Linked DNA regions of Oryctolagus cuniculus. The protein of the gene in region 6 purifies or fractionates together with the protein of the main gene of each other region. This does not show direct contact. Links are inferred from orthologs where the notes say so. Each region holds a gene or a part of one and is shown on either strand. Other genes may lie near its edges. The genes, in order: COPS7A, DCAF11, BTBD2, DDB2, CUL2, COPS3 and DCAF1.

The links.
Region 1: the proteins of COPS3 (region 6) and COPS7A purify together in Homo sapiens (affinity purification with mass spectrometry; 14 studies listed by BioGRID and IntAct, counting the BioPlex papers as one, with this or other methods). This does not show direct contact. The link is inferred for Oryctolagus cuniculus from reciprocal best matches to the Homo sapiens genes COPS3 and COPS7A.
Region 2: the proteins of COPS3 (region 6) and DCAF11 purify together in Homo sapiens (affinity purification with mass spectrometry; 3 studies listed by BioGRID and IntAct, counting the BioPlex papers as one, with this or other methods). This does not show direct contact. The link is inferred for Oryctolagus cuniculus from reciprocal best matches to the Homo sapiens genes COPS3 and DCAF11.
Region 3: the proteins of COPS3 (region 6) and BTBD2 purify together in Homo sapiens (affinity purification with mass spectrometry; 3 studies listed by BioGRID and IntAct, counting the BioPlex papers as one, with this or other methods). This does not show direct contact. The link is inferred for Oryctolagus cuniculus from reciprocal best matches to the Homo sapiens genes COPS3 and BTBD2.
Region 4: the proteins of COPS3 (region 6) and DDB2 purify together in Homo sapiens (affinity purification with mass spectrometry; 7 studies listed by BioGRID and IntAct, with this or other methods). This does not show direct contact. The link is inferred for Oryctolagus cuniculus from reciprocal best matches to the Homo sapiens genes COPS3 and DDB2.
Region 5: the proteins of COPS3 (region 6) and CUL2 purify together in Homo sapiens (affinity purification with mass spectrometry; 5 studies listed by BioGRID and IntAct, counting the BioPlex papers as one, with this or other methods). This does not show direct contact. The link is inferred for Oryctolagus cuniculus from reciprocal best matches to the Homo sapiens genes COPS3 and CUL2.
Region 7: the proteins of COPS3 (region 6) and DCAF1 purify together in Homo sapiens (affinity purification with mass spectrometry; 5 studies listed by BioGRID, with this or other methods). This does not show direct contact. The link is inferred for Oryctolagus cuniculus from reciprocal best matches to the Homo sapiens genes COPS3 and DCAF1.

Annotation. Positions count from the first base shown.
Region 1 is NC_091440.1:102,789,098-102,792,758, reverse strand, and holds the end of COPS7A (COP9 signalosome complex subunit 7a), read left to right. Parts: coding exon 1-78; intron 79-907; coding exon 908-1,110; intron 1,111-1,678; coding exon 1,679-1,784; intron 1,785-1,935; coding exon 1,936-2,087; intron 2,088-2,252; coding exon 2,253-2,292; 3' UTR 2,293-3,101; downstream 3,102-3,661.
Region 2 is NC_091443.1:51,073,717-51,076,852, reverse strand, and holds part of DCAF11 (DDB1- and CUL4-associated factor 11), read left to right. Parts: coding exon 1-83; intron 84-322; coding exon 323-387; intron 388-696; coding exon 697-797; intron 798-1,030; coding exon 1,031-1,177; intron 1,178-1,391; coding exon 1,392-1,446; intron 1,447-1,741; coding exon 1,742-1,810; intron 1,811-2,128; coding exon 2,129-2,186; intron 2,187-2,285; coding exon 2,286-2,471; intron 2,472-2,955; coding exon 2,956-3,109; intron 3,110-3,136. UniProt on the Homo sapiens protein: May function as a substrate receptor for CUL4-DDB1 E3 ubiquitin-protein ligase complex.
Region 3 is NC_091447.1:58,986,994-58,991,412, reverse strand, and holds the start of BTBD2 (BTB/POZ domain-containing protein 2), read left to right. Parts: upstream 1-1,619; 5' UTR 1,620-1,626; coding exon 1,627-2,042; intron 2,043-4,419.
Region 4 is NC_091432.1:18,730,401-18,734,586, forward strand, and holds the start of DDB2 (DNA damage-binding protein 2), read right to left. Parts: upstream 2,912-4,186; 5' UTR 2,719-2,911; coding exon 2,592-2,718; intron 1,478-2,591; coding exon 1,341-1,477; intron 580-1,340; coding exon 388-579; intron 1-387.
Region 5 is NC_091444.1:107,511,551-107,514,670, reverse strand, and holds the end of CUL2 (cullin-2), read right to left. Parts: intron 1,917-3,120; coding exon 1,800-1,916; intron 1,055-1,799; coding exon 923-1,054; 3' UTR 518-922; downstream 1-517.
Region 6 is NC_091448.1:66,273,066-66,277,407, forward strand, and holds the start of COPS3 (COP9 signalosome complex subunit 3), read right to left. Parts: upstream 2,880-4,342; 5' UTR 2,707-2,879; coding exon 2,652-2,706; intron 1,589-2,651; exon of another isoform or gene 1,447-1,588; intron 1-1,446. UniProt on the Homo sapiens protein: Component of the COP9 signalosome complex (CSN), a complex involved in various cellular and developmental processes.
Region 7 is NC_091441.1:98,115,864-98,119,564, reverse strand, and holds part of DCAF1 (DDB1- and CUL4-associated factor 1), read right to left. Parts: intron 3,568-3,701; coding exon 3,409-3,567; intron 1-3,408. UniProt on the Homo sapiens protein: Acts both as a substrate recognition component of E3 ubiquitin-protein ligase complexes and as an atypical serine/threonine-protein kinase, playing key roles in various processes such as cell cycle, telomerase regulation and histone modification.

The DNA.
Region 1 (3,661 bases), on a different chromosome or scaffold from region 6:
AACCTGCCCCCACTCACAGAGGCTCAGAAGAATAAGCTTCGACACCTCTCCGTGGTCACGCTGGCTGCTAAAGTCAAGGTGAGTGGCAGTCTCCCAGGTCTAGGCATCCTTCTCTGTGTCTGGGAGGTGACACTAGGATGTCCCAGGACCAGACTTGCCTCGTCCTGCCCCCCTCAGGGTCTGTCTGGAGTCCATCACCGAGCCATTTAGGCTGAGCCTTCTCTTAGTTTTCTCTTTGTAAGTTTTCAGTCACCTTAAGTTCTAAGTAAATATCTTTTGTATGCTGCTGAAAGTGGCAACGAGGGTGCCATGCATGTGTTGTACAATTACTTCCGTTCCCACGGCCTCAGCTGGAATAGGCTCTCTTCTGACAAGGTGCCAGGCTTCTGTTTGGTGGAGTAAGACATGCATATAACGCAGAAGGATCTCTGTATTCCTGCTGGCCTCAGTTTCCTGCCACACCCCCCAAGCTGAGGTTTCCCAGTTGTTATTTGACTGTCTTGTTACTGTCCTGACTTGATTTAAACCGAGCTCTGCATTGTGCAATGCCTGTGCAGAGGTCAGACTTCTCCCCTGCCGCATATTCCCACCGTGCCAGGGTGATCTTGATGCAGGGCTGCCTGAGCTCCTGAGCTGTGGCCAGAGGAATGACCCCAGACAGGTGTCGCTTGCTTGCTCGCTCTGGTCTGGAGAAATAGGGTGGTAAGGGAGCTTAAGTCTTGTGTTTTATTTAAGATTGGCCTTCTCATGCTGTTTTCTTGAGGTGGGAATACATTTACTTATTCTGCCCTAGAGGAAGTGGTATAGGAACAGAGCGGAGGGCAGATGAGCCAGGGCGGAGGGAAGATGATTTCTGGAAACCCCTTCCTGCTGCGGCTCCTCACAAATCCTGGCCTCCCGGGCCCAGTGCATCCCATACGCAGTGTTGCTGGAGGCGCTGGCCCTGCGGAACGTGCGGCAGCTGGAGGACCTGGTGATCGAGGCCGTGTACGCGGATGTGCTCCGCGGCTCCCTGGACCAGCGCAATCAGCGGCTGGAGGTGGACTACAGCATCGGGCGAGACATCCAGCGCCAGGACCTCAGCGCCATCGCCCGAACCCTGCAGGAGTGGTGAGAGCCGAGGGCGGCACTGTCCCTCCCCTCCTCACCCCAAGAAAGGGAGAGGTACTTCAGGGCAGGAGAGAGCAGGGGCTGGGCTGGGCTGCGACCCAGGAGGCTGAAGCAAAGTGAGCCATCCCTCCAAAGGCATCTGAGGCAGGGATGGAGGCGGCCCAGGGAGGCAGGAGGCAGTATCCTTGGTAAAGTGCATGGGGAGGGAGCGGGGATGCTACCCACGTCAGTCACCTGTCTAGGCTGGATTCAACTCATTGGTTTGTGACCGCCGTTGGCCACAGGCCTCTGCTTTGCTCCTGTCTAACCTCACTGTCCGTCCTCATTCATCCCCCACCCCTTTGGTTTTCCGCTTCTCCTCCGACTTGCCCAGCACTTGCGGCACTTCCCTGCCACTCTCCTGTCCCACCTGAGGGTCTGTCTCACTGGGGGGACTGCTGTAGGTGGTTGCCAAGGCCCAGCTCGGACAGGGGTTAGATGCTGGGAGCTACGGGTCTTTTGGAGTCTGTCTGTCATGAGTGTGCTCGCAGCCCTCTGTGCTGACGCGTCTCCTCGTCCCACCCTGCAGGTGTGTGGGCTGTGAGGTTGTGCTGTCAGGCATTGAGGAGCAAGTGAGCCGGGCCAACCAGCACAAGGAGCAGCAGCTGGGCCTGAAGCAGCAGATTGAGAGTGAGGTGAGCAGGGCTCACCCACACTGCCCCAGCCTGGGCCACTTGTCCTGTGCAGAGGCGTTTGGACCATGGCTGTAGCAGACAGGTCAGATGGGCAGAGTCTATCATGTTCCGGAAACTTCTTTGCTCCCCCCTATGGCTTTCATCCTGGTAGGTTGCCAACCTTAAGAAAACCATTAAAGTTACCACTGCGGCAGCGGCTGCAGCCACATCTCAGGACCCTGAGCAACACCTGACTGAGCTGAGAGAACCTGCCGCAGGCACCAACCAGCGCCAGCCCAGCAAGAAGGCCTCAAAGGGCAAAGGGTGAGCCGGGCAGCGGAGCTCTTGCCCTGGGGCACTCCACTCAGCTCGGGGCCCCAGCTGCTCTTACATCCTCTCCTTTCATCCTTTGCATGGGGATAGGGAGTTGGGGGAGGCTTTGGGGGTAGGGAGTCCCTGCACCCATTCTCTTTCTCTTCCCCTTGCCAGGCTCCGAGGGAGTGCCAAGATTTGGTCCAAGTCGAACTGAAGGGACTGTCATTTCTTCCTTGGGACTGTGGGTCCCAGCTGCCTGCCTGCCCTTAGGAGTTCTCAGAGAGCTTTCCTGTGCCCCTGGCCAGCTGATAATCCTCAGTTCATGACCTTTCACCCCCACCCCCACCCCCAAGCAGATCACACCTTCTCTGGGGAGGAGGCAAGTACAGGTCACATTTTTATTGGTACTTTTGTTTTATGTGACTTTCTAATGTGTTGCATTGCCCCCTTCCCCATCGTGCTCTGTTTCTTTAAGAGCTCGACATCTATCCTGTTCCTTACATCTGTCGCCAGGTAAGGGGCTAGCTCTGACGGGGCTTGCTCTGTCTCCAGCATAACCCACAGGTGTTCCTTCTCCTGCCATGTTGCTGCATGCCTGTCCCCCCCATCACTCCCTACCCCCACCTATGGGTGGCATCTCAAGGGCCATGGGCCCTTACCTTTATGCCCACCCTGAGAGTTTGGGAGCCGGCTTGCCATTCTGAATGACTGGACACTTTCATCCTAGAATTCTCTCACACTACGGTTGTCTCCTCTCCTCCTTCTTCCCCTTGGATCCTGGGAGTGCTGCAGCTTCAGTAACCCCAGAGCCCAAGGAGGGCAGCTGTTATTAGGATGCTGAGAGATGGTTCTGTGGGCCCTGACCATCTTGGGAAGCCTGGTGGCAGTCCTGCAAGGCTTTATGTCCCCTGTTGTGACTTTGGTGGGGAAGGGAGGGCATATAGATTGTATTTAAAAAGGTGTATATGCATATATCTATATATAACATGACACAGAAATAAATCTATGAGAAGTCTATCTACACACATGTCCTGCACTGGGTATCTTCTGTGTTTGATATTTGTGGATGGGAAGAAGACTCATTCCCAGTCTACTCTAAAAAAGGGCTGGAAAATGATGAGAACCAGATTCTAAATCCCGAGTCCTGGTGCCCTGTGGCTTTGGACAGACTGCTTCATACATGAGCGCTCCTTCCTGAGCACCCACGTGTGCCGGTCATGCTCCCTGCCTCCTGCATCATAAGAGAATCCTCAGGGGAAGATTGATGACGAACTTGGATTTCACATCACAGTCACAGCCATCGTATCTGGCAGGAGCACGCAGTTGGGCTCCTGCCCTTCTTCCAAGTTAGGACTTCGCAGGAAGTCTGCTAGCCTGGCCCAGAGTGCTGCCGTGAACGCCTCGGAACCGGGAGGCTGTGGCGGAGGCGGCAGGGAGCCCTCTCTGCAGAGCTGGTGCTGGTTGTCTAGGTGGAGGCTGAAGAGAGACCACTCCACACCGGCCCTGCAGCTGTCAGTCGTGGAGCCAGCCAGTAGGAGTGGGGTCTTGAGGTTTTGATTAAAAGTAGACTGGGTGAGCTTAGT
Region 2 (3,136 bases), on a different chromosome or scaffold from region 6:
AGACGCAGGTGGAATTGGCCACAGGGCGCCTGGGACTTAAGCGGGCAGCCCAAGAGCACAGCTTTCCTCGAATGTTGCACCAGGTAGGCCTCTCCACCTCCAGCCGGCCTGGCAGCGGGCCTGAGGCAGCCAGCACCAGAGAGAAAGGAAGTCAGCTTCCCAAGGAAGCCTCGGTGCTTGGGCTGGAGAGCTCCCCCGGGAAGGACTCCTGTGTGTGGTGCCTGTCCCTGTGTGGCGAAAGCAGCATTCGTGGAGGAGGGGGCTTGGTGTGACTGAAGTGATCTCTCTCTGCTAGCAATGTTCCCCAATCCCTTCCATTTAGAGAGAACGGGGCCTCTGCCACCGGGGAAGCTTCTCCCTTGGCGAACAGTCTCGAGTGATGTCTCAGTGAGTATGGGGCTCGGCGGGCAGACCAAGGGCCAGATAGGTCTGATCCGAACTTGGAAGGGGCAGATGTTAAAGGGCCTCAGAGGCGTTCAGGTTAGGTTAAATGGGGTTGTAGCTCTAAGGGGAGACAAAGCGGAAAAGTGTAGAGATGTAGGACGTGGCGGAGTGGATCAGAGGCCGGGGATCGGTCACAAAGCCGAAAGGGAAGACTGCCCTCGGCCTGGAGCTCCTGCTCTGTTAGGATTTTGCGAATCGGGACGCTCCTCATCCCGAGCCCACCTCAACCCCGCTTTCCTTCTGCTTCCCCAGCTTCTTGCCCAATGATCTGGGCTTCACTGATAGCTACTCTCAGAAGGCTTTCTGTGGTATCTACAGCAAAGATGGGCAAATCTTCATGTCTGCTTGCCAAGGTACCAGACCCTGGTCCTGTCGACTGCCTTTCCCTGGAACGAGGGACATTCCCCCTGAGCAAGGCTAGAGAGCCCCAGACCCAGAGCTCAGAACCAGGCTTAGGATTGCACAGTCAGGGCTCCTCCCCACCCCCCAATAAAGGGAAGACTCCGCAGACACTCTGAGTGATGGAGGTGTGACCCAGGACGGATCCAAGGAGGGCGCTCTATGACTCTGATCCCTGCCTCTACAGACCAGACAATCCGACTCTATGACTGCCGGTATGGCCGCTTCCATAAGTTCAAGAGCATCAAGGCCCGGGATGTGGGCTGGAGCGTCCTAGATGTGGCCTTCACCCCTGATGGGAACCACTTCCTCTACTCCAGCTGGTCTGATTACAGTGAGTGTGTGTGCCAGATTTCTGTTGTCTCTCCAGCCTATGATGAGGTCTCCACGCACTGGTCTCTTCTCAGCACAGCCCCCTGCCTTGTTCCAGGAAGATCAGTCTCGGAGAGCTCGGACCTCCTTGCCCTTTGTCCTGTCTCTTCCCTCGCTTCGTTTCCGCTCTCCTGCCCCCAGCCCTGAAAGATTCTTGTTTCTCTTGCTTCTCTTAGTCCATATCTGCAACATCCACGGGGAAGGAGACACACACACTGCCCTGGATCTGAGGTACTGGCTTCCCTTTCTGGTCATCCTCATCAGAAACCTCTCAAGGAAGGCGCTCCAGGAGGCGACCTCTTGGCCCAGAGCTCCTCTTAAAGGGGAAGGGTGGTGCCGCAGATCCCTGGGCAGGCACCACCCAGCCCGCAAGCCAGAGGAGCAGGGTAGATGAGATGGCTAGGTTCTCTCTGAGATGATCCACGTTCCGGCACGTGCTGAGCACGAGGCTGCGCCTCACCGTCCTCAGTAGGTTCTGTGTAGAGGGGAAGGCCACGTAACCCCACTCCTCGTTTGCTCTCTCCAGGCCGGATGAGCGTCGCTTTGCCGTCTTCTCCATCGCGGTGTCCTCAGATGGACGAGAGGTGCTGGGAGGGTGAGTGCTGGGGGATGTCTCCTACAGTCGAGGAGATAGGAGTTCTCCCAGAGTTGGGCTCTGCTGTTGCCTGTTGCGCAGCCTGCACTGGCAGCCATTGGGAACACACAGCTCATCTCCAAGGGCAGGGCTTACAAGCTGTTGTACCTCTTGCGTGCCATTTCCCATCACGATGGGAGGTGGCGGGCCTCCTGGGAGACAGCGACCCGACCCCAGCCTGCTGTGTAGAGCAGCTGCGGGCTCGCCTCTCAGCAGGACTCTTCAGAGCATCGGTCCTCTCAGTCTGGCTCCACGAGCCCCTTGTCTCTTCCCTTCCAGGGCTAATGATGGCTGCCTCTATGTCTTTGACCGAGAACAGAACCGGCGTACCCTTCAGGTATCACTCGAGAGCTTGAGAGCCTCTGCCTCGTGGTCTCTGGCTTACTGTAGGGTTTGGAAAGCGAATGTCAAGTATCCTGGCCTCCTTTTCCCCTAGATCGAGTCCCATGAAGATGATGTGAATGCAGTGGCCTTTGCTGATATAAGCTCTCAGATCTTGTTCTCTGGGGGTGACGATGCCATCTGCAAAGTGTGGGATCGACGCACTATGCGGGAAGATGACCCCAAGCCTGTGGGTGCGCTGGCCGGACACCAGGATGGCATCACCTTCATTGACAGCAAGGTGGGCAGAGAGGCAGGATGCAGAGCCAGGCAACCAAAGTTCTGGTTGCCCAAGATGGTGGGAACATGAACTGGTGTGGGAATTAGACACCATTCGCAAGCCTTGACTAATACGGTGCTTGTTAATCAAGGCTTGCAAGAGCTGGAACTTATGGAAGGAACCAAAGCCAGGAAACATGAGCTCTGTGTGTACCCACCAGTTCTCAAGGAGCAGGGCAGGGCTTTCTGTGTAAAAAAAGTAGAAGACGATCTAATCCAGGATAGAATAGAAGTTCCAGCCAGTGAGTGCCCTGAGCAAAGAGAGGAAAACCCAGCTGGCGGGTAGGATCTGAGACAGAGCGTCGAAGGTGAGCTGACCTGGATAAAGAAGCAAGCAAAATCAGAGGCTGGAGTTCTTCCTTTTCAGCGAGGGAAGGGGAACGAGAACGCACAGGCACTGACATTTGCAAGTTCCAATGCCTCATTACCCATCTTGGGATTCCCAGGGTGATGCGCGGTACCTCATCTCCAACTCCAAAGACCAGACCATCAAACTCTGGGATATCCGACGCTTTTCCAGCCGAGAAGGCATGGAAGCTTCACGCCAGGCTGCCACACAGCAAAACTGGGACTACCGCTGGCAGCAGGTGCCCAAAAAAGGTGAGAGCAGAAGTGGAACTGAGAGCT
Region 3 (4,419 bases), on a different chromosome or scaffold from region 6:
CAGAGCCAGCGGGAGCACCCCAGGCAGCATGCAAACGAGGGGCGTGGCCTTCGTGGCGGTATGCAAACGAGGGGCGTGGACACTGCCGCAGGTGGAGGCGGTCCCGCGAGCGCTGGGCTCCCAGGCGGCCCCACCAGCGATGCGGACGCGATCCGAGGGGTCGCCCATCCTTGCGTCCCCGAGAACGGCTGGCTCTGCGCGAGGGCGCTTCCCACGCCGTGCGTGGCGGGGCAGGGGCAGGGGCGCGGGCGCCAGTCCTGGCCGGCGCTGAGTGAAGCTGCCCCCCCACCCGAGTGGAGAAGCGCCCGGGAGGCAGAGGAGGCGCTGGCCCCCGCGAGTCCCCCAGCGGCACCGCCCACACTCGCGCGGCTCCCGGGGAGCAGGCCAGCGGTGGGGCCGGCGCACCCCGGGGTCCCAGCCCCCGCTCATGCGCACCCCAGTCCCAGCCCCTGCTCAAGAGCACCCCGGGGTCCCAGCGCCACTCCCCGCTCATGCACACCCTGGGGGGCAGCGGTGACCGGTGAGCGCCCTGCACCCCCCCACCGGAAACCCCACAGGGCTCCTGGCCCCAGCCCGGCCCAGCCCTGGCTGCTGGCATCTGGGGAGTGGACCCGCAGAGGGAAGACCCCTCTCCGTCACTCGCCTCTCAAATAAATACAGCAAAGCCTTAAAAATAAAAATACGAAGAGTGGGCGAGACTGGGGGGGATGCGGGGCAGAATGAAGCGTGTGGCGGGGGAGGGGCCGGCCCGATGAGCCGCGTGGGAGGCGCTCCCGGAGCCCCACCTTAGGCTCTCCTAGCTCCGACCTGCGCGCGCGGTCCGTGTTTTGGGGTCCCCTAGACCCGGAGTCCTGGGTCACCGGAGTGTCCCCTGCTGGCGCCCGGCGCCCTCGAGGGTCCTCGTCTGTGTAGGCGTCCCCTGCGCGGGGCAGTCGGACACGGATCCAGGATCCAGGGCCTGACCCGGAGTCCGCGTGCGCAGCTTAGGGCGGGGGTCGCGGGTCTGAGGCGAGGGGCTCACCGTCTGCGGTCTGGGGCTCAGGAGTCACGACCTGGGTTAGGGGTTCGGGTCCAGTGTGTGATGCTGGCGCCGGGGTCCGGGGCTCAGAACCGAAGCCCCCTCTCCACAACCCGCCCCGCCCCCCGAACTCTCCACTCCCCCGCCCCGCCCCTCATCCTGTCCCCTCCCATCGGCCCCGCCCACCAAGCTCCGCCCAAGGCCCGCCCACTGGGCTGCGCTCCGTCCCGACTCTCACTTCCCGTGCAGCCTCCCTGGCCCCGCCCCCGGCCCGCCTCCTGTTCCCTCCCATCGGCCCCGCCCACCAAGCTCCGCCCAAGGCCCGCCCGCCGGGCTCCGCCCCGTCCCCAGACTCCCACTTCCCGTGCAGCCTCCCAGGCCCCGCCCCCGGCCCCGCCTCCTGTCCCCGCCCTGCCGCCTCCATCGGCCTCGCCCCCAGGCTCCTCCCCAGGACCGCCCGCCGGGCTGCGCTCCGTCCCCAGACTCCCACTTCCCGTGCAGCCTCCTGTCCCCGCCCCCGGCCCCGCCTCCTGGCCCCGCCCTCCCGCCTCCCATCGGCCCCTCGCGGCCCCGCCCACAAGGCCCCGCCCCCGCGCCGCAGCGACAAGATGGCGGCGGGAGGCAGCGGCGGGCGCGCGTCGTGCCCGCCGGGGGTCGGCCCGGGCGCGGGGGGCGCCCCGGGGCCCAGCGCCAACGCCGCCGCGCCCGCCCCGGGCAACGCGGCCGCCGCCGCCGCTGCCGCCGCCGCCGCTGCCGCCGCCGCCGCCGCCGCCTCCGCGCCCGGGCCGGCCCCCGCCGCCGCCGCCGCCGCCGCCGCGCCGGGCCCCGGGGCGGACGCGCAGGCCGCGGGCGCCGAGCGCGAGGAGGCGGCGGGGGCGCTGCTGCGCGAGCCCGCGTACAACTGGCAGGCGTCGAAGCCCACGGTGCAGGAGCGCTTCGCCTTCCTCTTCAACAACGAGGTGCTGTGCGACGTGCACTTCCTGGTGGGGAAGGGGCTCGGCGCGCAGCGCGTCCCGGCGCACAGGTGGGCGCGCGGCCCGCGCCGCAGGCTCCCTCCCCGTCGCGAGGCCGCCCTCCGGGAGCGCGGGGGGCGTCGGCTCGGGAGCAGCCCCTCCTGGGGCCCCCGCGGTGGGGCCCGGGCTGGGGGCGCGGGGTCCCCCCCCCGGGGCGTCCCTGCCCGCGTCGGGGTCCTCGGGCGCCGGCCTGCCGTGCGTCAGGTCACCGCGCGCTGCTCCGTCATCCTGGGAGCCGGGCCGTCCCCCGCGCGACGCCCGGAGCCAGCGCCGGCGGGGTCCAGCCGGGGTCAGGGGCTCGGATCTCGGGGTGTGAGTGGGGGGCGGCTGCTGGGGCCCCGGGCTGACCTTGGCTTGGGGGCCCTCGGAGAGCGGGGGACCACGGTGGGGACAGGTGTTTCGGCCGCAGTGGAGGGGGCCTGGGGTCCGGGCGCGGCCGCCTGAGCAGCAGTGAGGGGCGCCTGGCCTGGCCCCGGGGGCTTTGAGGTGCAGGGGGAGGTCTGGGGGCGTCCGGGGGGCCGCGCAGGTCCCGGCTTCCGTGGAGCCGCCGCCATGGTCTCGGGTGTGTGGCTGAGCGCCCCCGTGGGGGCAGGTGCAGGACTGGGGGCCCAGCCTGCCGTGCCTCAGTTTCCACTCCTGTGCAATGGGACCCTCAGTGCGTCCCCCCCCCCCCCAGTCTGCTGGGACGCCCTGGCCCAACACAGGGGTCCTGCGCTCTCCGCTCCCCGCAGGGTGGGCTGGGCCGCGCTACTCCCTGGGAACACAGGGCAGCCCCCCGAGGTGCGCTGGGTGTGGGGGGCGGCCCTGGCCTCCGGGCCCCCCACCCCCGCGTCCACACCCGAGGGTCCCCAGGGTGCGGCTGGCGCTGTTTGCAGGTGGGGCAGCGGCGCCCCCTGTGGCAGCGTCCGGGTCAGACAGGAGCGGGCTGGGGGCAGCGGAGAATCCCCCCCCCAAGGCTGGGCTCCGGGACCCCAGAGAGGCGGGGAGGCCACAGCCCTGCCCACGCGCCGCCCCGGCCTTCCTCACGGCCGCCCCCGGTAGCGGCCACCGGGGTCCTGCGGGGTCCTGGCGGGGGTCCTGGCGGGGGTCCTGGCGGGGTCCTGCGGGGGTCCTGCAGGGTCCTGGCGGGGGTCCTGGCGGGGGGGGGTCCTGCGGGGTGCTGGCGGGGGTCCTGGCGGGGGGGGGGTCCTGCGGGGTGCTGGCGGGGTCCTGGCGGGGGTCCTGCAGGGTCCTGGTGGGGGTCCTGGTGGGGTCCTGCAGGGTCCTGGCGGGGTCCTGGGGCGTCCTGGGGCCCTGGGCGAGGATGTTGGGTCGGGATGAGGCCTGAGTGCCCGTGCGCGGGAGGCGGCCCCAGGCCTGGTCCCCCCACGGCCGCTGTGGGAGGCGGAGCCTGGGGCTCGTGGGTCCCGGTGGGGCGGTCCCAGTAGCTGAGCGCGGGCAGCTCCCCTGCGCTGGACTGGGCGGCGCTGCCGCCACTCACCCCTGGGTGCGCCGGCATCAGCAGAGGCGCGCGCTTTCGTTCCAATAAAACTTTACTTGTGAAGGCCAGCAGGCCGAGCCGCCCGGGCATCCCGGTGGGCACCGGCACGAGTCCGGGAGTCCCGGCTGCTCCGCTTCTAATCCGGCTTCTTGCCGGCGGGCCTGGGAGGCAGCAGATGAGGGCTCAGGCCCCGGGCAGCCCGGACGGAGCCCCTGGCCCCTGGCCCCGCCCAGCTGCTGCGGGCAGTTGGGAGTGAGCCAGCGGTGGACGCTGTGTCCTGCGACTCTGGCGGCCGCTGTGCTGGGCGGCTGGCGCTCCCCGGGGTCGCGGCGTGTGCGTGCCCCTGCCGGGCTTTTCCCGGAGGCAGACACGGCTCCCGCGGGCTGGGCTGGGGGCTCAGCCCAGGCCTCCCCGGGGCGGCAGGGGCCCCAGCGCCATCCGCTTTGGCGGGCAGCTGGGGTCAGGAGCCGGCGTGCGGCCACTTGGTTCGTTTGCTTGAAGGCGGGTTAGGAGGAGGCAGGCGGCCGCGCTGGGCCGGCTGGGCCGCCGATGCCCCACACCGGACTCGGTGCAGGTCGCTGGGTTCGGGTCTCCGTGGCCGCGGGGCCGGTCGGGGCCGGTGGTGACTACGGTCTGGCCGGCAGGCGGCTGTCCGCGGTGAGGGCGGCGTGACCGTGCTGGTCACCGCACGCTTTGAACCCGGCGACACCCGGCGCCCCCGCCTGGTGCCGCTCCGCGGGCCCCCCCCACGCCCCGGCCAGGGCTCCCCCGCGGGTGCAGGGGCCCAGCACGTGGCCATCTCCGCTGGTGCCAGGTGGAGGCTTAGCCCGCTGCGCCACAGCGCCGCCCGCAAATCCGTCAGCCTCGACGCAAACGGGCCGCGGGGGAGGCCCCGCCTGCAGGCCCGC
Region 4 (4,186 bases), on a different chromosome or scaffold from region 6:
AGCCCCCTTGAAGTGCGCTAAGCAGGTACCTGAATGATGAGGAGTCAGCCATGAAGAGACCAAGAGCAAGGGCACGCCACAGGAAACAGCAAGTGCAGAGAATCCGCCCTCCCCCCCCCCCCCCCCACCTTTCAGGGATAGAAATAGATGGTGTGGTTAAACCACAGAAGTAAAGAAAAGAGGTCAGATTCCATGGGTGAGCAATAGTCTATACCTTTTAATATTTCAAGGGCAGGCATTCAAACTAATATTTGAGTACCACACCGTGTACACATTTGCGTTTGACAATGCCCAGTAACGTTCAACCCCAATCATCTCTTTACTGGGTGATGCCAACATTCCTTTCATTCCTGTAACAAACCCGTCTTTAGCAAGGAGAAAGCTTACCCCTTTGATGAAGGTGGGTCTCTCCTTTACCCTAAAGTTCCACAGCATGATGTCTCCCCCTTTGGAACCCACTGCCAGGGTGCTGGGGTGAGTCGGGTGCCAGGCCAAGGAGGTAGCCCTCCTATCAAAGGGGGCAGCCTTTTGGAATATCCGGTAAGAAGCCAGAGAGTGCAAAAAGGACTGCTGGAGACCCTGCCGCAGAGAGAAAAGAATCAAGCTGAATTAAAACCCAAGTCCTGGGGTTATGCAACCAAACTACTAAGTCTTGTAGCGGTTTAAGCTACCCCCAGCAATGCCGCCAACCCATATGGGTGCTGGTTCATGTCCTGGCTGCTCCACTTTCGATCCAGACCCCTGCTACTGTGTCTGGGAAGTCAGCAGTGGATGGTCCAAATGCCTGTGCCCCGGCCACCTATGTCAGAGACAGGGAAGAAGCTCCTGGCTTCAGTCCGGCCCAAGCCTGACTGTGCAGCCATTTGGGAAGTGAGCCAGCAGATGCAGGCCCTCTCTCTCTCTCTCTTCCTGTAACTCTGTCTTTCAAATAAATAAACAAATCTTAAACACAACCTCCCCCCCACACATACACACGCACACACACCAAGTCCCAGGCAAACTGGTAAAGTGCCAATCTCTGCCTTCACAGATGAGCCTGAGGGCCAAATCCCACCCACCCCCCCCCCAAAGGAAAAGTAACTGCCTGGCCCTGTACATGAAAATATTTGCAACATACGTGACCTACTCTTGGAAAGCAAAGGGGCAGAGGTGCATTCCACTGGGACCTTTATAATCTAAGACTTTTCTATCTAGCTGAGCTCCCAGCGGGCCCGTCACCACCACGGTTGGGGGGGAGGGGTGTGATCTGACCACTTTGACAAAAACCAATTCTGGAGCATCCAAAAAACAAAACAAAATACCATGCAAACCCTGGAGCACACCAGCCAGGAAACACCCACCTGTTGCAGCGATGGCCAGGCAGTTCTGCCCAGCCTGTGCTGGTGCAAGGCCCTGACAAGGCTGCTGCAGGGCTGCGGGTCCTGCAGGCCGGGCAACCCCGCCGGGAGGCAGTCTGAGTCAGATCTTCTGCCAGGAGCTGCCAAGAAGAGCAGAGACATACTTTCCCCTCCAGTCTCAGGAAAGGCTTTCCTGGTGAAATCTCAGGCGGTCCTGTTGTAGCAGTCACTAGAGCCACCCGGTCCCATCACCTCTGGGCTTTCCCATGGTCTGTTTATCTACTTCACCCGGCACAAGAAATAGTAGGACTCAGTCCCTTCCCCAAAACCGTTAATTCTAAGTGTGATCTTACAAGGTTCCTGAGGGTTGAGGCAAAGAAACACACAGGAATAAAGTGCACTGTAGAACTCCTCCCAGTGTAGATGGGGTTGGGTGCCAATTTTAAAATTGCAAAGTAGTGGGGTCCCTGCCACCCACTTGGGAGACCCAGATGGGGGTTCCTGGCTCCTGCTTTTGGCCTGGCCCAGCTCCGGCTGTTGCAGGGATCTGGGGAGTGAACCAGCGGCTGGGAGCTCTCTGTCTCTCCCCAGAATAAATAAAACAAAATCACATATAACGCACAACAAAAATGGTTTTTGGACAGCAGAATGCAAGTGATTGTCTCCAAAAAGATGTCACTTTAAATGCTGGATTAAAGTAGTGTAGAGGTGACATCAACTTAGAACAGGAAGTAGACGAGTCTAGATGATTATCTAACTGTATCTGCATTTTCAGTCTCTATGGGTCTTTTTGACAACCTCTTGTTTCTTCTCAAGGACAAAAACCACGTTATCCGCAACCCCCTGCCCCAGTCTTGGGTTCCCCCATTACCCCTTACAGCCCCAAGTTCAAACCCCAGGAAACCTCAGAGATGGAGCTTTCTAAGGAAGGCAACAGGAGGCTGTCCCAGCTAAAACCAAGGCCACAGAACTAGACACCCGCCGCGCCAGGAGAGGTAGATTACTTAGGCAGCCCTCAGGGTGTAAAACGCCTCAGACAGACAAGGACTGGAAGGGGGGCTCATCTGTTTCCTCCTCCCGGCGAGGAGGGGGCTCTTTAAACCTCAGCTCCCCGGGGCCAAAGGGCCTGCAGGCAAAAAGCACAGCCTGAGGCACCGATCCCTGGGGTTGCCCCAGGAACCCCGGAGCCATCCCCCACTCCGGCCTGGGCCCCCCGAATGGCGGAAGCATTAAAGCCGCAAGCACAGGCAGTACCGCAGCCCGTGACGTTCAGCTTCTTGGCCTCGGGCTCTGGGTCTCGGGGACTTCGGTTCCTCTTGCTCCGGGGGCGCAGCACAACCTCGAGGGGCTTCTGGGCTTCGGGGCGTTTCTTGGGAGCCATCGCGCCGCCCGTGCGAAGGGGCGTCCTATGCAGGGATCCCGGAGGGAGGACTGAAAAGCCTCTGCCGGGAGAGGCAAAGCGGGGAGCCCGAAACCCCCGCGGCTACAGGTAGCCCAACTAAGCCAACTTCCCGCCAAACATGCCCGGAGCTTGTTTGGTTCTGACTCTGGCTCCGCCCCTCTCGGAGGGACACGCCCCTTCCGGGAAGGCGGGACGTGCGCGGCGATTGGAAGAGCGTGAAGGGCGGAGCTTCCGCTCTCCGGCAGGCGTCTGGGTTTTTCTTTTTTTCTTCTTGGAGATTGGGATGTCTCCTCTGTGATGCGCCGCGCGTTGCATAACCGCTCATGTCTGAACACAGATAGTAACACGGACACGATCCAAAACACAAAAGTGACCAGAACTCTCCCTGTTTCGGCCAATACGGAAACTAACGGCGGCCGCTGAGCCAGCCACACCTTCAGCCTTGCTGCTTGCTACCCGCCCTTATCTACCTTATCTAGGGATAAGGCTGATCAGGATGCTGTAGGGGAGGACTCGCTGCCGGCGTCGCTGGGGCCCAAGATTTAAACCAACGTGGCACGGATTAACGGGAGAGCGCAGAGACCTTCTATTTCATGTTTTTGCACGTACCTGGGAGACTTTAAAAGGAAAATGAAGACCCAAAGAGGCCGTCAGGCCCAAGGCTTGTGCCATGTCTCTTCTTACACAGAGGACACTCAGCTGTGGAGATGTGACCGAGGCTTGAGCTAGGGGCGGTGAACTGTGAGGCAGTGACTAGAAAACACGTGGGTGGGACTAGTGCAAGATTAGCTTGGCCAGGTCCCTTTCAGTGTGGACTCCCAGTCCCTGGTGGTGAGACTGTTCTCTCTTCCTGGTTCCTCATGGGAAATGTTATGACCTCCTGTTAGGCAGAAAGGGGAAGGAGGCTTTCCTGCACTGCTGTTTGTTCAGGTGCTGTCGGCTCAAAATACTCAGTATGCTGGGCGGGGGTTTGACGTGCTGGTTAAGACACCGCTTGAGACACATATCCCCTATCCAAGAGCCTGAGTTCAAGTCCTGGCTTTGCTTGGATTGCAGCTTCCTCCTAACGCACACCACGAAGCAGCAGGTCAGGCAGGTGGGTCCTTGCAGCTCGTGTGGGAGACCTGGACGGGGTTTCTGGTTCCTGGCTTGAGCCAAATAGTTGGAAGCATTTTTTCTTGTCACTGATTGAGGCTGGTGTCCCAGAAAGCAAAAGAATTCAATAGAACAATCAGATAGAGGGAGCAGGGTTAGACTTATCAAATATATTTCAAAGGAGCAGCAGGCAGCCAGGACTAGTGGAAACTGACTACTGGAGCAGCAGGCAAGCAGGACAGCTAGACCTGTATTATGCAACACGGACGGCAAGGTAAGAAGCATACTTGTAACTGCAGGACCTTCTTAGCTAGCATGAGTTTTTCCCATGACTAACAGGTTCTCCCAGCTA
Region 5 (3,120 bases), on a different chromosome or scaffold from region 6:
CCAGACCAGAATATTCTAATACTGCGTAGATACACATGATAACATGTTTTTTGTCTCTACGTTAAGTTGCACCTTGTGAAACGCACTCACCAGACCTTTACAAAGGTATCCTGGTTACCTGTGCCTTCCCGGAGCAGACCCAGCGTGAGTCACGGAAGGGTGGCATGAGGGGTCAGGCGGGCAGGAGAGGGGAGGAACACGCGAGCGTCACGGGACCTCCGACAGCGCAGGCTGGGGCTACGCTGGCACGACGCAGCACGGAGCACAGGCCAGCTCTGTCCGCTCAGCCTCCTCTCCTGCCACTCTGTGTGGCGCGCGTGGCCCCGGGAGCTCCCGGCGAATCGTTCCCTCAATATTCAGACTCACCGGCTCCTTCTCATCCACGGAAGGGACGCGCTCCGTGCGCTGAGCCGCGCTCTTCCACGTGGGAGGGGAGGGAGTGAGCTGCTCCCCACTGCCTCGGCACCAGCACGCATGGCCGGCCGGGCACTCCCTCCACGTACAAAGAGGCATCCTATTTCTTTATTTTCTTTTATTTGACAAGCAGCAATATCATGTTTGTCATTTTAATGTAGATACAATTATTAGGTTATCTGTCATATTACAATATTTAAGTTTTTATTTTATGTCCTTTAAGATACATTAAAAAAAAAACACATCAACTGCAAACATGAAGGGGAGAAGAAGCATGGCACCCAACCCGATTTCCACACGTCAGCGACGCTTCATTCCCTCTTTCGATAGAGTTTTAAGAAATGTCCTAATGACATGAGCCTCAAATATTCTCTAGGCATTTTCTTGGACGCTCATGACGTGGCACTGGTGATGTTGTAAACAGCAGAGAAACAGGGGCTGCCGCGTGACCGGGTGATGGGGCCAGGCCCGCCTTCCCACAGGACACACCCAACGGCGACGTCCGCCCTCACGCGACGTAGCTGTACTCGTCCGCGGACGCCTGGCTGCGCTCGATGTACTGCTTGTCTATGAGGACCTCGATGCACTTCTTGATCATGCTGATGCTGGGATTGAACCTGGCTCTCGACTGGCTGATCACCTGCAGGAGAGACAGGACGTCACGCCACTGCCGCCCGACGGCGGGGAGCAGGGACGCCGCAAAGCGCCTCGGGGCCTCGCCCGACAGGGAAAGACAAGCGCTGCGGGCAGGAAATTCTGCTCATCAAACTGTGGTAAAGAACCAGTGGGAGAGGAAGGAGGTGACCAGCGGGGAGTGCCGTGGCCTGCGGTCCCTGTTGGAACAGCCCAGGCAGTGCACATGGGGAGGGAGCCGTCACACCTGTCATTGGCGTCGTGCAGGAATAAAAGCGCAGAGCGCAGACGCCACGAGACCTATTATCCACACCCAGGCGCACTGGACTAGAAACAACGCGCACACACACCCCAGCTCCCATTTGATTCTCAGTCAGCTCTCAACCAATGCTCCAGGTGGCCCCCAAAGTGCCCCAGGCAGGACTCTGCCCACGTCTTCACGGGGCTGTGTGCTCTGCTAGCCTAGGGCTGCACAGGGCTGCCATGTCTTGCACCCCTGGCACCTATCCAGGACCCCAGCAGGCACAGTGGACACTCAGCGGTTTGCAGAATGAATGAATGAATATTGGATGTGGTCAAATCCCTTCAACAGCAGGAGTCAGTAACTCACTGGGCTTTCGACCTCTACACGTAAGCCCATCCACATCTGAACTTCCCACTGAGAAGCAGTGGGCACCGTCCTCGGTACGCAGGCACACGCGCTCCCGCTCCCACTCCCGCTCCCCAGGCAGCCCGGGCACTCCTCCCTTCACCTCTTGGATGAGGGCGTTGTGCCGAAGCACCTTCCGCGCTTTCATGATTCGAACTATAGCAGCCTGCAGATACATCTTCCGGTCTTCATCGACGGCACTTCTTGTCTGCTCCATTTCCTGGTGCACAGAGGAGAACGACAGTTTGCAAAAGAGACATCGAGGCACGGAAGCTGTACTCTGTTCCCTTGCCAGTGACTTGGAATACATTTCTGATCAAACTACGCGGTTATGCAGCGCCCAGAGTCACAAGACCACTGCCCAAACACCACCGGGACGGGTCAGACGCCACTCGCGAGGCTCCAGCTGAAGGGCTGTTAGAGGCGCTCATGCAGCTTAAGCTGAAGGGTTACTGAAAGCAAGCCGTCAGGCAGACCTCTACGCGACAGCAACGGTTTTCCAGCCCACGGCCCTCGGCCCCAGGTGCCTGCTGGGACTGATAGGAAGAGCCGGGCAGGCTCTGTTGGGCTCAAGCAGAAAAAGCCAGGATGGGCCAGAGTGCCTGTCTGCACGGAAACATGTGGAAGGCAGGCGTAGCACTGGCATTTCCTAACCCCTTTAAAAGATAAAATACATGTACTGCATCTCTATTCATCAGCCCAAAGGAACACTGGACAATGACCATTTTGGGGGTCTGTCTGCACCTGAGGGCGGTGGTTCTGGTGAGGGTCTGACATCTCACACATGGTTCTGCCCCCAGTGACTGCACGTGGAAGGCAACAAGGAGACGTGAGTAAGGTCAACTGTCCATCCCAGTGCTGAGTTCCAAGAATCAAGAGCAGATGCCCACCACTGACACCGACTCACCAGGAGTGCAGACCCCTCTGTGGACATGCGAGAGGGCAGTGACCACTCGAGCAAGATGCCCAGGGGGTTCCCGTGCACCTCCAGTTTGAGAAGCAGGGAGGTATCTGGCCCCTGGTTGGGATCCCAGGAAGCCTGCTCGCACTCCATACTGTGCGTCTGCTCCCAGCTCCCACGAGCTCCCGGATTCCAGCTTCCTGCTAACGTGCACCCTGGGAGGCAGCAGGTGACGGGTCCCTGCCACCCACCTGGGAAACCTGGAGGGAGTTCGTGGCTCCTGGCTCCAGCCCTTGCAGGAGCTCTATCGGATCATTTCTGTCCTTCAAATAAACACAGTCTTACATGTCATGGTACCTGCTACATGACAACGTCTCTTCACAGGAACTTGAGTTGTAAAACTTCCCTTTCACAAGGGGAAAACAGAGACTCGGTGGGGAATGTCTGGAGAGCGCCAGGCCAGACCACACGTCCTGACGAGGGCTGAGGGCACATGGGACTCACTTTCCCCTGGCTTCCTGTT
Region 6 (4,342 bases):
AGGCAGTCCAAATGCCCCAGACTGCCTCACCTACCTCCTTCTACTTCACCGACGCTCAGAAAGCCCAGAGTCCATGCTCAGTCTGCGCACACGTGTGGGTCTCCACCTCTCGCCCCCACACCCTCTGCGACCTGCCCAACGGCTGTGACCTCAACCCTCTCTCCCGTTAGTGGGTGGCTGTTCTCTGCTACCTCACGGGCTGGCGGTGGTCAGTCACTCAGAGCAACCCGGGGGGGCACTGTCCCGTTTCCTCCAGCGTCAGAAGGCAGCACCGCTTACCAGCTTGTGAATTAAGCTGCTACTTCATCCATCCATCTGTCCCCCCCACCACTACGCTGTGTTAACAGCTACAGAAGCCAGGGAGGCCTGCACCGGCACTTTAGTAAGGCAGACCCATAGATTTTGACAAGTACTTTTTTTTTTCGAGATTTGTTTTATGTATTTGAAAGGCAGAATGAGAGAGAGAGAGAGAGAGAGAGAGAGAGATCTTCCACTTGCTGGTTCACTCCCCAAATGGCTGCAACAGCCAGAGCTGGGCCAGGCCAAAGCCAGGAGCTTCATTTGGGTCTCCCACGTGGGTACAGGGGCCCAAGGACTTGGGCCATCTTCCACTGCTTTCCCAGGCCAGAGCAGAGAGCTGGATCGGAAGTGGAGCAGCCGGGACACACACCAGCACCTATATGGGATGCTGGCTCTGCAAGCAGCGGCTTAACCCACTGTGCCCCAAGGTCCACCCCTTAATGGTTATTTTTTGGCGCCCTGGCCACACTCTGTCTCTCTGGTGGTGGTGGTAGGCGTATAATAATTCCAAGCACATTAACTTCAAGTCTCCTGCTCCGGTATGTCTATACAGTAGCTGGGTCTTTTTCCCATTTTTAAAAGAACACTTAAAATAACAGAAAGCCTGAAACCCAGCAACTGCAGCAGGGTATTTGATCATTTAATTCCGGGGGCTTCTGGGCCAGGACACTTTTTTTTTTTTTTTTTTTTTTTGACAGGCAGAGTGGACAGTGAGAGAGAGAGACAGAGAGAAAGGTCTTCCTTTGCCGTTGGTTCACCCTCCAATGGCCGCTGCGGCCGGCGCGCTGTGGCCGGCGCACCGCGCTGATCCTAAGGCAGGAGCCAGGAGCCAGGTGCTTTTCCTGGTCTCCATGCGGGTGCAGGGCCCAAGCACTTGGGCCATCCTCCACTGCACTCCCGGGCCACAGCAGAGAGCTGGCCTGGAAGAGGGGCAACCGGGACAGAATCCGGCGCCCCGACCGGGACTAGAACCCGGTGTGCCGGCGCTGCAAGGCGGAGGATTAGCCTAGTGAGCTGCGGCGCCGGCCGGGCCAGGACACTTTTATACTGAGTAAGTTGACCAAAAACAAAGTTAGTATCCCATCACTACCACACGTGCTTGCAAACCCAGAGCGAACAAACAGCTGCCATCCTGCAGGGCATCACCTCCAGACGGCACAGGCTGGGCGGGGAAGACCTCGCTGGTCGGGGGGAAAGGGCTCCTTCCACGTGAACAGCTGGCCCTGGTGGGCGCTCACAGCTGGGAACGCAGTCACAGCGGTCCGGGACGCGCTGGGTGCCCACAAAATCACTGCTGGGGCCGCGGGGAGAGCCCCGAGTACGGAGGCTTAGGCGCCACTGCGCGCACCCGAGCCGTGTCCGGCCACAGATGCGGCCTCCCGACAGAAAAGCAGGAACTTCCCGCGTTCCTTTCACGGGAAGGTCCGAGTCAGGTCACCCACATTTCCCTCTGCCTGGCACACGGGGCCGCCTCCCCCCAGCCCCACCCCAGGCGCCCATGCAAGGTTCTAGCTGTGTCTAAAAAAAAAAAGCCCGAAGAGGTTAACGGTGGCTCGTCCAAGGTCACGCAGCTCCTGAGAACCTGCACCTAACGGCTACCGGCAATCACTCGCAGCTGCATTTACTGCACCCTCTCCCCCAGGTCCCGACTGCTCCCACGGGGGTCCTCTCCATCCACCCTCACCACGGGACTCGCACAGGGTCGTCACGGCCAGCATCTAACTGCTCTAACCCCGAGCCCTGCTGTCTCAGATGCTGACATAACCAACGTGAAAGAACAAAACATCGGGAGAGCAACCCCACGCCTCGAAATGCAGCCCTACGAGCGCGAGTTCCCTCGGCATGCCGTGGGACCAAAATAAGCGCAGAGGCTCCCGAGCCTGCGCCGGCCAAGGCGAGCCCGGCAGCCAAGGCGCCCGGGAAGAACTCGCCTCCCGCCGGCTCCCCGAGGCCTAGCCTGGAGGCGACCCAGCGCCGCGGAGACCGGCAGGGCGCTGCGCCAATCACCGAAGGCACGGGAGGCCCCCGGGAGCCAATGGGCGCTCGGGAAGGCGACGGCGGAAGTCCCGCCCCCAAACTGTCAAGCGGAGCACCCGGTGGAAAAAGGGGCCCCGGGCCGAAGGGGAGGAAGGGGCCCGGCCGCTCGAGGGCAGGGAGGCCGGCGGGCGGGGACAACGGCGCTCCAAAGCACGAGGGCCCCGGCCACATTCGGCCGCGCTCGCCCGGCCCCGGGGAAGCAGCAGCTTGGGACTCAATGGGCGGTCCCTGCCGTCCGCGCTGGCGCCTGTGGATGCAGGGCCCGTCCCCCGTGCCCGCCCACACCCTCCCTGCCCCGCAGCCGGGGCCCTCACCTTGAGCCGAGAGCTGCCGGACGCTGTTCACGAACTGCTCCAGGGCAGACGCCATGTTTCCCCCGGGGCGGCCCGAGCGGCGCAGGCAGCTCGCGCGGGAAAAGGCGGCCGCGATCCAGCAGAGGGCCTCGAGTGTGGCTACGTCACTTCCGCCGGTACAAGCATCGCGAGAGCTCCCCACGCCGGGAGCCTGTTGCCGTTTCCATGGAAACACTTCCGCGCCCTGTCGAAGCGCCGGAAGTTCGCTTCTCTCTGTGCATCTGTGAAACCCCTCCCTCCCCCCCGCTTTAAATGGAGGTGGGGAGCGCTGGTTTTCCAGTCTCCGTTTTGCCAGATTCTTCGCAGGGAGATTGCCAAGGCTTTTGCTTGTGAGGTGATAAAGACTCACGCAGACTCTGGAGCTAGGCAGTCTGGGTTTAGGCCTGGGGAAGCTGTGTCTGCGCAAGCTTCTTATTTATTTGATAGGCAGAGTTACAGAGAGAGAGAGAGATCTTCCATCTGCTGGTTCACTCCCTAAATGGCCGCAACAGCCGGAACTGGGCTGACTCCAAGCCAGAAGCCAAGAGCTTCTTCTGGGGCGGCCCCAAGCACTTGGGCCATCTTCTACTGCTTTCCCAGGTGCATTAGCAGAGAACTGCTCTGGATCAGAAAGGGAGTAGCCGGATCTCGAACCCGTGCCCATATGGGATGTGGGTGCTGCAGGCAAAGGCTTGATCTATTATGCCACAGCCCCGCCTGGAGCAAGTTCTGTGCTTTCACTGGCCTCTCCCCCCTGCACTTTGGTGCCCGTCTTGCAGTCACTTCTGCTGGGGAAATTTCCCTCCACTGTCCATACTGTCGTCAGCGTCCAGGTCTCGAGGTCAAACATTCTTGCTTCTCTCAGGTCCCTCTTAAGAGCCTTACATTGCACAGCGGGACGTTTTAAAACTGCATCCCGGGGCCGGCGCCATGGTGCAGTATGTTAATCCTCCACCTGCAGTGCCGACATCCCATATGGGCGCTGGTTCTAGTCCTGGTTGCTCCTCTTCCAATCCAGCTCTCTGCTGTGGCCTGGGAAAGCAATGGAGGATGGCCCAGGTCCTTGGGCCCCTGCACCTGCATGAGAAACCTGGAGGAGGCACCTGGCTCCTGGCTTCAGATCGGCGCAGCTCTGGCCGTTGCGGCCATCTGGGGAGTGAACCAATGGAAGGAAGACCTTTCTCTCTGTCTCTACCTCTCACTGTAAAAAAAAAAAAAAAACCTGCATCCCACAACTATTTATTGAGCTCCTGCTGGAACATTCCGGGTCTTTCTGTAGAAAATGAGCTCGTAAAGACCCTAGCAAACAGGGCTGGGTGATCTGAAGGAACAGAGGAAACCAGGGACTGGCCTGGCATGACAGGGAAGGCTTTCTTGGGTACATGCCACCAGCTGAGCTCTGAAGAAAGAAGAATTAACGCACGGGGAAGGAAGGGGTGTTTCTGAGTGAGAGGACAGCCTGTTCTAAGCCTCTGCCTTGGGAAGGAGCTTGCTGTTTGCAAGGGAGTCGTTGAATGACTTCAGGGAGTCATTGTGGTGGACGGTGGGGGTGTAAGGCAGGTCCATCCGGGTCACCCGTATTGGGGGTGAGAAGGGCACAGGGGCGCAAGTACTTGAGCCGCCTTGGCTGCTTTCCCAGGTGCATTAGCAGACAGCTGGATTGGAAGTAGAGC
Region 7 (3,701 bases), on a different chromosome or scaffold from region 6:
TAATTTTAGAACATAATCCATTCCAAATCTGAAAACTAAATAAATTCAAACTGTACTTACTGAGCTGTCAACAGGTATTTCAATCATTTAATGCTCTTGGTGATTGTGTCACATAGGTACTGGATTCCCATTTAACATGAGAGACGTCCCTCAAGGTCATGAAAGTGGCTGGGTCTACTGATACAAAGTCTGCAAGTTTAGTATTAACTCTTTCACTCGCACACTCTGTGCGTTAGCGAATGAGCTGTAAAGCACTCCCCAGGTTTGCCTAATACTTTTTTCTGTATCTTAGCCATAATTAATTTTTTATGTACGAGTACACATACAGATTTCCTATTTTCAGAAGGCTACCTATCACTGTATAATGCTAAACTCAAGAAAAGAAAAAAGTTAAAATAAAAATTGGGTATCTTACTAATAAAGTGTAGCTCAAGAAGAAACTGCCAGGGCAAGCACTGTGAACACCAGGTTAAGCCACCCCTGAGAATGCCTGCATCACACATCAAAATGCTTGATTCCAGTCCTAACTACTACACTTCCTCCAATCTGGCTTACTGCTAACGCACCTGGGAAGCACTGGGAAGCACTGGGAAGCACTGGGAAGCACTGGGAAGGCTCAAGTACTTGAGTTCCTGACACCCACAAGATAGAGTCTGATGGAGCTCCTGGCTCCTGGCTTCAGTGTGACCCAGCACTAGCTATTGAGAACATTTAGGGAATTAACTAGCTGATAGGAAATGCAAACTATCTTTCTCTCTCTGCATCATTCTGCCTTTCAAATAAATAAAGCTTAAAAAAAAAAAAAAAAAAAGGGAGAAACTACCAGCTTCACTCTTCACCAGAAAAATATCAGGAAAATGTTCCAGGCACAGAAATGAAAACAGTTCCCTAGTGATGTGCAAGGGACCATCATTTTTCAAATGTATAATCCACTTACATTTTTTAAAAAACTCACTACATGGGGCCGGCGCTGTGACACAGCAGATTAAAGCCCCAATCTGCAGTGCCAGCATCCCATATGGGTGCCAGTTCAAGTACCAGCTACTCCACTTCCAATCCAGCTCCCTGCTAGTGTGCCTGGGAAGCTCCTGGCTCCTGGCTTCAAATGGGCTCAGCTCTGACTGCTGCAGACATTTGGGAAGTGAACCAGCAGATGGATCTCTCTCTCTCTCTCTCTCTCTCTCTACCTCTACCCCTACCCCTCTGTAACTCTTTCAAATAAATAAAATAAATCTTAAAAAAAAAAAAATCACTACATATAAAAAGGGTCTTAACTGGAAAAACAGAAGAACCAAATGCAGAATCACTTCAACCCTGAGAACAGTTCGGAAGATTTAATTATATCCGTCACAAACTGTTAATACATACCAGGCAGTCTATTGCTTTTACAATAGATTGACTCAAAGATATAAAATATTAACTCCACTGAATGACATCTGAAAAGTAGCTGTAGACTAATCTTAATGCCTGAGAACTGCCAAAAACTAAAGTCCTTAGACTCCAATTCATCCTGTATTTTTCCATAGAATCAGAAAAAAAAAAAAAAAAAAAAAAAAAACACTAGATCATTGTCTACATAAAATTTTTGTATTTGGAATGCTTTGTGAAAATCATTCATGTACCTTGCTTCTTTCATTAGAACTTACTTCTTCAACTATACTTTTCTTCTTATCCAAAAGTTGTTCTGTGAATGCACTTGTTTTTTAGTTTGAGAGACAAAGAACTCTCATTCCATTGGTTCACTCCTAAATGTCCACAACAGCGGGGGTCGGAAAAGGGGCTGGCCAGGACCAGTGCCAGGAGCCAGGACACAGGGGATTCAATCCAGGTCTCTCATGTGGGTGGCAGAAACTCAATTACTTAAGCCATCACCTGCTGCCTCCCAGGTTCTACACTAGCAGGAAGCTGGACTAGGGAGCCAAGACTCCAAACTCAGGCAGTCTAGTGTGGAATAAAGGTATTCTAACCTGCAACTTATCAGCTAAGCCAAACATTCATTCCATAAATGTGTTCTTTTCTTTTAAATTTAAAAGGCAGAGGCCTGCGCCGTGCCTCACTTGATTACTCCTCCGCCTGCGGCGCCGACATCCCATATGGATGCCGGGTTCTAGTCCCAGTTGCTCCTCTTCCAGTCCAGCTCTCTGCTGTGGCCCGGAAGGACAGCGGAGGATGGCCCAAGTGCTTGGGTCCCTGCATCCACAGGGGAGACTAGGAGGAAGCACCCTGCTCCTGGCTTCGGATCGGCGCAGCACCAGCCGTAGTGACCATTAAGGGAGTGAACCAATGGAAGGAAGACCTTTCTCTCTCTCTGTTTATAACTCTGTCTCTCCCTCTCTCTCTAACTCTGCCTGGCAAAAAAATTTAAAAAAAAAAAGTGTTAAATTTAAAGGGCAGAGAGACAGAAACAAAGAAACAGATGGAGAGAGATCTTCCATCTGCTAATTCACTTCCCAAAAAGACTACAAGAGCCAAGAATGAGCCAGGCTGAAACCAGCGCCCAGAGCACAATTCAGGTCTGTTAAATAGGTGGCCAGGTCCCAAGTACTGCAGCCAAAATCTGCTGCCTCCAGAGGTGTGCATTAGCAGGAAGCTGCACTGAAAGCAGAACTGGGGTGGAACTTTGGTCCAGGGAATCAGGCTGCCACCTACAACACCAATATCTCCCATATAAACGCTGATTTGAGTCCCAGCTATCATGCTTACAATGCAGCTCCCTGCTAATGAGCCTGGGAAAGCAGCAGAGATGGTGCAAGTGCTTGGCCCTTGCCACCCACATGGGAGACCTGAATGAAGCTTCTGGATCCTGGCTTCTGCCTGGCTCAGCCCTAGCCATTGTGGCCTTTTGGGAAGTGAACCAGCAGATGGAAAATCTCTCTATAACCCTGACTATGAATGAAAGCAGAGCATCCAAGACTCAAACCAGTCACTCCAATATGCAATACAGGTATCCCAAGTGGTGACTTATCCAAGGTACCAAACGGCTTTGTGAATGTACTTCTTTTAAAGAGACTATTCTTGGGCCGGTGCTGTGGTATAGCAGGTAAAGCCACCACCTGCAGTGCTGGCACTCCATATGGGCACCGGGTTCTAGTTCCGGCTGCTCCACTTCCAATCCAGCTCTCTGCTGTGGCCTGGGAAAGCAGCAGAAGGTGGCCCAAGTCCTTGGGCCCCTGCATCCAGATGGGAAACCCAGAATAAGCTCCTGGCTCCAGATTCGCACAGCTCCAGCTGTTGCAGCCACCTGGGGAGTGAACCAGCATATGGAAGATCTATTTATCTCTCTCTCTCTGCCTCAGCCTAACTCTGTGTTTCAAATAAATAAATACATCTTTAAAAAAAAAAAAAAGGGGGAGAGAGACTATTTTCCACCCAGTCTCATTCCCATACATCCAGCTGGACTGGACTTACTCTTTCCATGGCGTCCTGGTTGTAAGACAGGTAATACAAGCACATGGATACACCAGTTGCAGCCATAGACGGTCGAGGAATTTCCAGCAATTTCTGTACTCCACCATGAGCAACAAATTCTGTGGCAAATTTGTTATGGAGCAGGAGAGATGCTAAGTGCTGAACAATAAGGACACAAGTTACCATCAAACAATCCAGAAAAAAAAAAAAAAAACTTACCTCTTGACACAATATTAAGCTGCTAAATGCAAGAGTTCTCTAAGTAGACAACTACCTCCTTACAAAAGAACAAA